Linked DNA regions of Arabidopsis thaliana. The protein of the gene in region 2 interacts with the protein of the main gene of each other region in a biochemical or structural test. Each region holds a gene or a part of one and is shown on either strand. Other genes may lie near its edges.

Region 1 (5,911 bases), on a different chromosome or scaffold from region 2:
GTTAGTTTACATTGTTTTATTTCTGTTGAACAGATTTTACGCATCACATGTGGAAACTAGTATCTATAAATTATGTGATTGAAAGAAAGTGAGCATCAACAATTGTTATTGGATTTTGTTTTAGATGGAAGCAAAGATTTGGCAAAGTACACAGACCCAAGAAACTGGAGTTGTGCTGCTGGCTATGGAGTAGGGTCACAAAGCCCCTTGACTCCTTCTTTTAACATTGGCATTGAACTAGCAAGAAGCTCTCAGGTGATTCTTTTAAAATCCGTGTAGATGAAAACATGTTGTTTTGCTGTCTGTATGCACAAGTCTTAACCCCAAACAATTTTTCAGTATCTCATGGAACTTGACAAACGACCACATTATTTATCTAATGGCATATCATCCATTTTGTAGCATTTTTAGTCTTGCTGATTATGTTATCTTTCTTGTAAATGCAGTTTATTGCTTCGTTCTACCAACACGTAGTGGTCCAAAGACGGGTACAACTCTTTCAAACAAGTCCTTTTTCTGTGCTGCATCTTATACTAGTCTTCCATATATAAAGTTTAGCACATCTTTGGCTCAATATGAAATCGATTTAATGGACTTGGAACAGGTGCAAAATCCTTTCGAAGAAAACCAAGTAGTTGGAATCACAAACTACATTGATTTTGGTTTTGAGCTACAATCGAGGTAGTGAACATCTCTAAGTAAAAAAAAAAAAAACATTGTAGCTACTGTTTGTCTATACAGAAACAGAACTTTATATTTCGTCTTAATATTGAAGGGTTGATGATTCCAAGACGCCACCCAATGCCCCAGATTCTTTATTGCAGGTGGCTGCGTCTTGGCAGGCCAACAAGAACTTTTTGCTGAAGGTATAAAAAAATATTTACCTTATCGAGTTACTCAAAAAGAAACCATTTATCTCAAATTTTGCTCAGTATGTAACATTTTCAACTTTTGCAGGGTAAAGTCGGAGCTCATAGCTCAACATTGTCATTAGCATTCAAGTCGTGGTGGAAACCGTCTTTCGCATTCAATATTTCAGGTATGCGTTGATAAATAACCTGAATGCAGCGAAATCAAGATGAACATAGGTTCTTGGTATTTGAACATGTTTGGACTCATTTTTTATGCAGCAACAACTAATCATAGGACTGGAAATGTCCAATGTGGGTTCGGTCTACGTGTTGATAACTTAAGAGAAGCCAGGTCAGTCCATTTGTGACAAGTTTAAAATTAAATCAACCCTCTTTAGCTTCATGATCTTCTTCACATTGTTTTATTTTGTGAAATTGCAGTTACCAAAGAGCTGATCCAAACTTTGTAATGCTGACACCGAACAAAGAACATTTAGCTGAAGGGATTGTGTGGAAAATGGGGAAGAGACCAATGTATCAAGCCGATGTGGACGCAGAGAATTTTAGTGAGCTGCCAAAAGAACTTAGACCGTCCCAGAAGATTCTCTAAACTACACCATTAATCTTTTTGCACTTTTATCTAGTAGATTTAGATATCAACCAAGTCAAGTATTTAATAAGTTCGACGAAAGAAGAATTACTTAGGAATAACCATTTTTACTCTTATGGAGTACAAGTGTTTAGTGTTCAAAATTAGGAGTGGATTATCTGGTTTAAACTCTTAAGTTTGGTCTTTTTGGGCTTTTGATTTTTCGAAGTTCTTAAATGAAGCGAAATCCTGATTTGTTTTTGGACTTTTCATTCGGTTTGGAACGATATTTATATGGGATGATATATTACGGGTGAACAAATATCAAACAAAAACAAAACAAATAATATAAAGAAATACAACTTAAATTTAAAAATTTTAAAAAATCGATTATTGGTGTACTACGGGTTATGGATATAAGTAACAACATTCTTTATAATATTTACCATAATAAAGGTTACTGTTTAAATTTATTTTCAAAGTACAAAAAGTTTTCGATTCAATTTGATTCGGTAACAAAAAAAAGACCCGGTTTTGTTTATTCCAGATTCATAAGATCATAAAATAGTGGTTTACTAAACAAATTTCAATTCAATTTCGGTTCGATTCGGTTACGTATACAAAACCATAGCTTCGCATAGAAAAACCATTATTTTCAAAAATTAATATTTTTAATTACAAAAAAAAATGAAATAAAACAGAGACCACAATCCCATTGTCCCATGACCAGAAGAAGAAGAAGAAACTAAATGGCGACGACGACGAGTTGTTCGCTTCTCCTTTCTTCCACTCTCTTCCTTCACTCTCCTCCTTCTTCTCACCTCTCCTTCTTCAATCTCTCTTCTTCACGATCCTCTCCAATTTCTCTTTACCCAATCCGATCCAAACGCTATTTCCGAATCCTCTCGAAGCTTTCACTAAACGACAACAACAGAGACGACGATGATGATACTCTTCATTTTACTCCGTTCTCCGCCGTTAAACCTTTCTTCCTCCTCTGTACCTCCGTCGCGTTATCGTTTTCACTCTTCGCCGCTTCTCCCGCCGTTGAATCTGCCTCGGCGTTTGTAGTTAGTACTCCGAAGAAACTTCAAACTGATGAGCTCGCGACGGTTCGTTTGTTTCAAGAGAACACTCCTTCCGTTGTTTACATCACTAATCTCGCCGTGAGGTATCTGAATTTGATTTCTCTCTGGTGAATTTCGTTTTGAATTTCTTCTCTCCGTGATTTGAGGATTGGTCTAATGTTGTTTGAATTAGGCAGGACGCGTTTACATTGGACGTTCTTGAGGTACCTCAAGGCTCTGGTTCAGGATTTGTGTGGGATAAGCAAGGTCATATTGTTACCAATTACCATGTTATTCGTGGTGCTTCTGATCTCAGGTTAGTTATGTTGAAACTTTGAGAATCTGATTGATTTTTGATAGAAATTGGAATTAGTAATTGTTGTATTCTTAGTTTTATAATGAGTACATTGTTTCTTTGGATGGTTTCTTTTGATGTTTGTGTATGATAAGGAAGTTGGATGATGTATATAACAGGGTCACTCTTGCTGATCAAACAACATTTGATGCAAAAGTTGTTGGATTTGACCAAGATAAGGATGTTGCAGTATTACGTATTGATGCACCGAAAAACAAATTAAGACCTATACCTGTTGGAGTCTCTGCTGATCTGCTTGTTGGCCAGAAAGTCTTTGCCATTGGCAATCCAGTGAGTATACATCCTTAAAGTGATCATAGATTAAAGCTCTGCTTTGTGTTTTCTATTGCTAGCTAGGTCAATACTTATGTTTCTTGTTCATACGCACTAAAGCAAGAACTTTTTTGTGCAGTTTGGACTTGATCATACTCTCACAACTGGTGTTATAAGGTATGTTAAATTATATTTGTCTTCTCTTTTTTTTAAGTTGCATTCTACTCTAATCAGATGTGTTCTTCTCATAACGAACTCACAAATGAAAGTGTCAAAAAAGATGATTGGTACTTGAGGATACTGGATACATATATTTTCTCTTGCCCCTCTTCATGCCAAATGGCTATACTATTCCTTTTCTCTTATTAAAACTGTAGCATGTTTGTGCATTATGATTTGTACAGTGGTTTGCGAAGAGAAATTAGTTCTGCTGCAACTGGTCGTCCAATTCAAGATGTGATACAGACAGATGCAGCCATTAACCCTGGTAACAGCGGAGGACCTCTTCTAGATAGCTCAGGAACGTTAATTGGTATAAACACAGCCATTTATTCTCCTTCTGGTGCATCTTCTGGAGTGGGCTTTTCGATCCCAGTTGATACAGTGAGTTCTCTCTTCTTTTTTACCCATTGCAAATCTGATCAGATAGAGTCTTTCTCTATCATTGAATCCACTAACGGGAGACTAAAGTTGTTTCGAGCTCTGTTTCTCTCATGTTCAGGTTGGTGGTATCGTTGATCAGCTGGTGAGATTTGGTAAAGTCACCAGACCAATCTTAGGTATCAAATTCGCACCGGACCAATCTGTTGAGCAATTGGGAGTGAGCGGTGTGCTCGTCTTGGATGCTCCTCCAAGTGGTCCAGCCGGCAAAGCCGTAAGCTCTTCCTGTTTCCAAGTTTCCATATAACAGATATTTTCTCTATGTTTCACTCCGCGGTTTTAATATTGAAATGTGTAAAATTGGTTTTGTTCCACAGGGACTTCAGTCAACAAAACGTGATGGTTACGGGAGACTAGTACTAGGAGACATAATCACGTCGGTGAACGGTACAAAAGTCTCTAACGGGAGTGATCTGTACCGGATTCTCGATCAATGCAAAGTCGGCGATGAGGTAAACTCCGCAGTTTTTGTCAATTAGTTTCTGCATCCGAGATAGTTTTGACACTGATGATGTTGATTAGGTGACCGTAGAGGTTCTAAGAGGCGATCACAAGGAGAAAATCTCTGTAACTCTCGAACCAAAGCCGGACGAGTCTTAGAAACGTCGTTGAAAGAAGTAAATATACATAACGTGTAGAAAAAAAGTCCGGTGGGTTATATTTTTGTATATCAATTGTTCGGAAAATAGATCGTCCAATTGTGTACATAAAATCTGTTTATATTTGCATACATGCGAAAGGTAACCGGAAATAACCAAAATTGCAATGTCTTCAAACGGTCTTATGGTTTGGATTGGTTTTTAATTTCGGTTCAGACATTGGGAGTGACGAGTCTGACACCTAGAAAAAATCAAAATGAGAAAAATGAAAACCGAATTTCGTCGGCTTAATGGACAGTTACCTCATCTTAGCAATGATGCATAGTACTGATTTTGCGGCTTTGTAGTACCAAATTTTTTTTTCAACACTCTCTCGGATGCATAGTACTGATTTTGCAATGATGCATAGTACTGATTTTGCGGCTTTGTAGTACCAAAATAAAATTTCATGATTGTGCGGCTTAGCAATGATACATATTACATAGTACATTAGTACTGATTTTGGACCTTTATTTTAGTCGAGACAATTCTGAACTTACGGATTCCGAAGTTAACAAAGTCCTTTTATAGCTTTTATTCAGTTCCGAACATGGTTACTTTTTATACATGAAACTTCCTAAAATTTTACATCTACAAACATTCGAGTTTGAAAATTTAATGGTTTGATTTTCGACTCATTACCAAGAATTTCTTTTTGATATTATTCTTCATGATTTATCAAAAGATGTACGTGTATTATATGGTTATGTCTTGAGTTCATGTCATGTGTTCGAATCTTTATAATATAGTCTTACACGGTTTAGGTTATTTGTTCAATTGTTAAGTCATTTTACGGTCCCTATTTCACATTATGTTAGTTTTTTAAAATATTTAAAACAACGTACTGTAGTTTTGATAAATTATTGAGTTTTTTTATTAAGTTGTGAACGCATGCTCTCGTTGAGAGATCATTTACTCGAGCTAAGTTATGACTTGGATGGTTGTGTTGCAGGTGAAAGGTAGCTTTGCAAAAAAAAAAAAAGTTTGAGGTTATGTCTGCATGTTTCCCTGTATACAAACTCAACCATTTGTATTTTATTTTTTGGGTGCAAAAACTATAATTTACGTAGTTTTTGAACACTTTCATAACATCAAATATTACCCACGTGATAAGTGAAAACGAACCGAATATGTAATGATCAGCGAAGGTCCCTACGTGGAATTTAATATTTGTGTCATTCTTTTTAAGCAACACCAACAAGACACTGACATGGGTTGGTATTTATAAATTTGCAACGTAAAGTATATGTAGTAAGATTGTATCTTCTATGGTTGGGACTGTATCTAAACCAAACCGGTTTAATAGGGTATATATTTTTTTTGTCTTTGTCTTTGAATTTGTGGGGTCATAAATCACGGGCATCTTCATTTGGAAATGTATTCATAGTAATGTATATAAACTACTTTCGAGCCGACTTGGTAATGATTACGAGAATCCTCTGCTTTTGGAGTAAATTTCTAATTTAATATGTACGTGT
Region 2 (3,542 bases):
GTTTTTTAGTTTAGGCACAAAAGCAGAATCTTATTATCACATTATCAGTTGATAATCATCTGATGAGAAATAGTTCTTTGGAGATCTTTTAGGGAATTTTATAAGTAATAATTAAGGGATAATTGGATATCCTTTATTAAAAAATGTAGGCTACTTGTAGAATTAAAAACTGGAATCTTATAATATGATTAGTATAATAAGATTACGCTATATCTGGATTCTGGAGATATCATAGATAAGCTCTGTCTATGAAAACGAGACCCTTGGGGAAGCCACGTGTCAAATCTATCTCTGTCACCAGCGAAGCCTACGTGGCGAGCAGCTCCTAGAATATCCAAATTCACAACAGTATTTTTTTTTCTTTCGTTCTGATTCAACAGTTGTCACAAACAGCCAAGGTGTTTTGTGATTGGTTATAAATACTCTGCTATGTGAGAGAGTTTACTACATTCACAAACAAACTAAAACTTAAAAATGGGAAGGGGTGAGTTTTTGGCCATGAAGACTGAGGAGAACGCGGCTAACCTGATCAATTCCGATATGAATGAGTTCGTCGCCGCTGCAAAGAAGCTCGTGAAAGACGTAGGGATGCTCGGCGGGGTAGGTTTTGGCACGTCAGTCCTCCAATGGGCCGCTTCAATCTTCGCTATGTGAGCCAAAAGACAAAACCATATAACCTCTCTGGTTTTTGTTTGAATCATATATTGATATGATGGTTCTTATTGTTTTGCTTTGACAGTTATCTGTTGATATTGGATCGTACCAACTGGAAAACCAAAATGTTGACCACCCTTTTAGTACCATACATCTTTTTCACACTTCCTTCGGTTATCTTCCAGTTCTTTAGGTAATCAAGAAAAACTGTTCTTTAACATGATGTTATGGAGTTCTTTTGAAAATATAATCCATATTCGATATAATTTCACAGCGGAGACTTTGGGAAATGGATTGCTCTCATCGCGATCATAGTCAGGCTTTTCTTCCCTAAAGAATTTCCAGGTCAGAACCAGCAGTTTTCATGACTTAACATTAGTTTGAAACTTTGATCTTGAAAATCTTCTTTCTTTTTTGCATATAAATGTAGAGTGGCTAGAGATTCCGGTAGCATTGATTCTTATTGTGGTGGTGTCGCCGAGCCTTATAGCTTGGACACTAAGAGAAAGCTGGGTTGGAGCAGTCATATGTCTAGTAATAGCATGTTACCTTTTCCATGAACACATTAAAGCTTCAGGTGGATTCAAAAACTCTTTTACTCAAAAGAATGGAATCTCCAATACCATTGGGATCGTTGCCCTCCTCGTTTACCCGGTTTGGACCATCTTCTTTCACATCTTTTAAGTCAATCCGACCCATTGGTTTGTAGACACATTCAACATTTTGTGTCTTCAATTCGTTTTCAAGGTTTGAATTTTATAAGGAGCATTTGTGTTTGAGAAAGTCTTGAATATAAAAAAGAAGTTTCAATCGTGCACTGCTGACTTGTAAGATTGTTTTTTTTTTCTTGTAAATGTGTGACTTGTAAGATATATAAATAAATTTGCATATTGGTTGATTTGTTGAATCAATCTTGAATATTGTAGACTTTTTAATTGATCATGACTAATAGTTGTTTTTTGAAAATTGTTTTTCATTTCATTAACACCAAACAATAAAGCAACACAAATTTCTATCACCTCCTAGCATTGAACTACGTGCCGTTGTTCGTATCCAAAAGTGTATATTCTTGTAATCATTCACCGTCAAAGCTCAAGTAGTTAGTAGCACCACACCAGATTTCCAAAGCACAAAGCTCATGACTAGCCTTACCTACACACTCGATGAAATCGAAGGCCCTTTCGAAGTTGATTACGCAGCAGTGACAGTACACAACTTCCTGGTGGGGAGCGTGTACCGTTCTTGTTCACGATCAAGCAGCTCGTGGCATCGCAGAGGATACTTTGGTCCCAAGTCGATCCCTTCAGCATTCACCCAAGGCCACGTTGGAAATAAATCTGATCGTAAAACACAACATCTGCAGATTATTATCAATAAAAATTCAGAAATCAATAAAATTCACTCTGAAAACGCAGAAAATCTAAGGTAAATTCATAACGACCTTTTGAATTTCTAGTGTCGAAGCTGTATTGAAGAAGAAGAAGAAGATTCCGAAGCTAACAAAGGAGAAGACGAGAGTGGATTGATTGCTCCTCTCTCCTCTCTGATGATATTCGTGCTTCTACACTCACAGAGATACACTGTTTATTATTGTTTTCAATATATGAGAGGAGGAGCTTCCCTACTATTTTTAGTTTTTTAGCCAATGAGAGAGCTCCACTTCATACCCCACTTTTACCAATCGTGCGATTTCACAGCCACTCTCACCCATGTCGCGTTGAGCGCGTGTCTACGATTTCTAAAGGGGTTATTAATCCACAAAATTTATGCCTTTTTGAATCCACGCACCTCGTTCTTAAAAACCCATCGCGTGTCTTATTTGTTTTGGTTTTCTTCTCTAAACCAAATTAAACCGAACCGAGATCAATTTGAATTTCGAAACCAATGTAAACCCATCGCTGTGAAAACAAAAAGCTCGGCCACAAAAATGGAGACGACACAACTTGGAAGAGAAATCAACTCGAAATAGCCAAGAGAATGTTCGTAAACCCCCTCAAATCCGATGCTTCCTTTGATTCCAACCTCCAAAAGCCCATCTGCTCAAATCCGAGGAGTATTACAAGGTACCTCTATAGAATATCAAGGCTATGACAATGCGGTTGCATTACCTGCTAGAGGAAACAATGAGGAGCTAGCTAAGGAGAACAACAAGATCACACTTAGTGTAACAAAGAGTAATCCCGAGAGCGGTGAAGTGATTGGTGCTTTCGAGAGTATTCAACCTTCAGACACTGATTTGGGTGCTACGACTCCTAAGGATGTCAAGATTCAAGGAATCTGGTATTGCCAACTTGATGAATAAAACATAGAGAATCTGTTTGTTTTCTTTTTCTGTAAATGTTGTTATGATTAAGGAATATTGATTCCAGTTCATAGTACATGTGGTACTCCATTTGGTAACACTTTGCACTTTTGGCTTTAATCAGATACTAATTATTGTGATTAAAAGACTAATTATTGCGGATTAAGATAACATATTTGTAGATCTGTATAATTGCTTGTAACAGCAAAGATGATTTCTGGTTAAGAAGTAAGAAGAGATTTATAATTAAGCAAACCATTTGCCTTATGACCCCATTGTTGTCACATCCACTTTGTCTTTTCACCTTCCCTGTCTCAAAAAACAGAGGACCCTTGCTCTGTTTCTTAACCCTGTTTTATCTCCTACTCAAAGTTCAAATCTTTTGCGAAACCCAGTAATGGAAGATCAAAGCAGGTGAAAATGAGGAGAACTAGAGACGTTAACAAGGGCTCTTGTTCAAGGAGATGGTAAGAACAACGGCGTCGTTTGGAACCAGCTCAAGCTTTGTTCTTCGTCTCGGACAAACTCTGTTTTCCTCTGCTTCGCTTCTTTTCATGTGCTTTAACGATGACGAAGATTTCTACGC

The links.
Region 1: the proteins of AT4G37230 (region 2) and DEG1 form a complex in vitro, tested with the Arabidopsis thaliana proteins (one study listed by BioGRID).

What each region holds. Positions count from the first base shown.
Region 1 is NC_003074.8:10,365,143-10,371,053, reverse strand, and holds DEG1 (DegP protease 1), read left to right. Parts: upstream 1-2,109; 5' UTR 2,110-2,189; coding exon 2,190-2,611; intron 2,612-2,700; coding exon 2,701-2,823; intron 2,824-2,981; coding exon 2,982-3,153; intron 3,154-3,274; coding exon 3,275-3,312; intron 3,313-3,539; coding exon 3,540-3,738; intron 3,739-3,856; coding exon 3,857-4,009; intron 4,010-4,112; coding exon 4,113-4,247; intron 4,248-4,317; coding exon 4,318-4,395; 3' UTR 4,396-4,445; exon of another isoform or gene 4,446-4,705; intron 4,706-5,385; 3' UTR 5,386-5,402; downstream 5,403-5,911. Other genes in the region: AT3G27930 (beta-galactosidase), read left to right, coding at 125-255, 447-488, 605-681, 776-866, 958-1,039, 1,131-1,203, 1,293-1,461. UniProt on the Arabidopsis thaliana protein: Serine protease that is required at high temperature. May be involved in the degradation of damaged proteins. In vivo, can degrade beta-casein.
Region 2 is NC_003075.7:17,514,632-17,518,173, forward strand, and holds AT4G37230 (Photosystem II manganese-stabilising protein (PsbO) family), read left to right. Parts: upstream 1-1,792; coding exon 1,793-1,997; exon of another isoform or gene 1,998-2,011; intron 2,012-2,095; exon of another isoform or gene 2,096-2,273; intron 2,274-2,729; coding exon 2,730-2,956; downstream 2,957-3,542. Other genes in the region: AT4G37220 (Cold acclimation protein WCOR413 family), read left to right, coding at 475-650, 740-847, 929-999, 1,085-1,338; AT4G37235 (Uncharacterized protein family (UPF0497)), read left to right, coding at 3,421-3,542.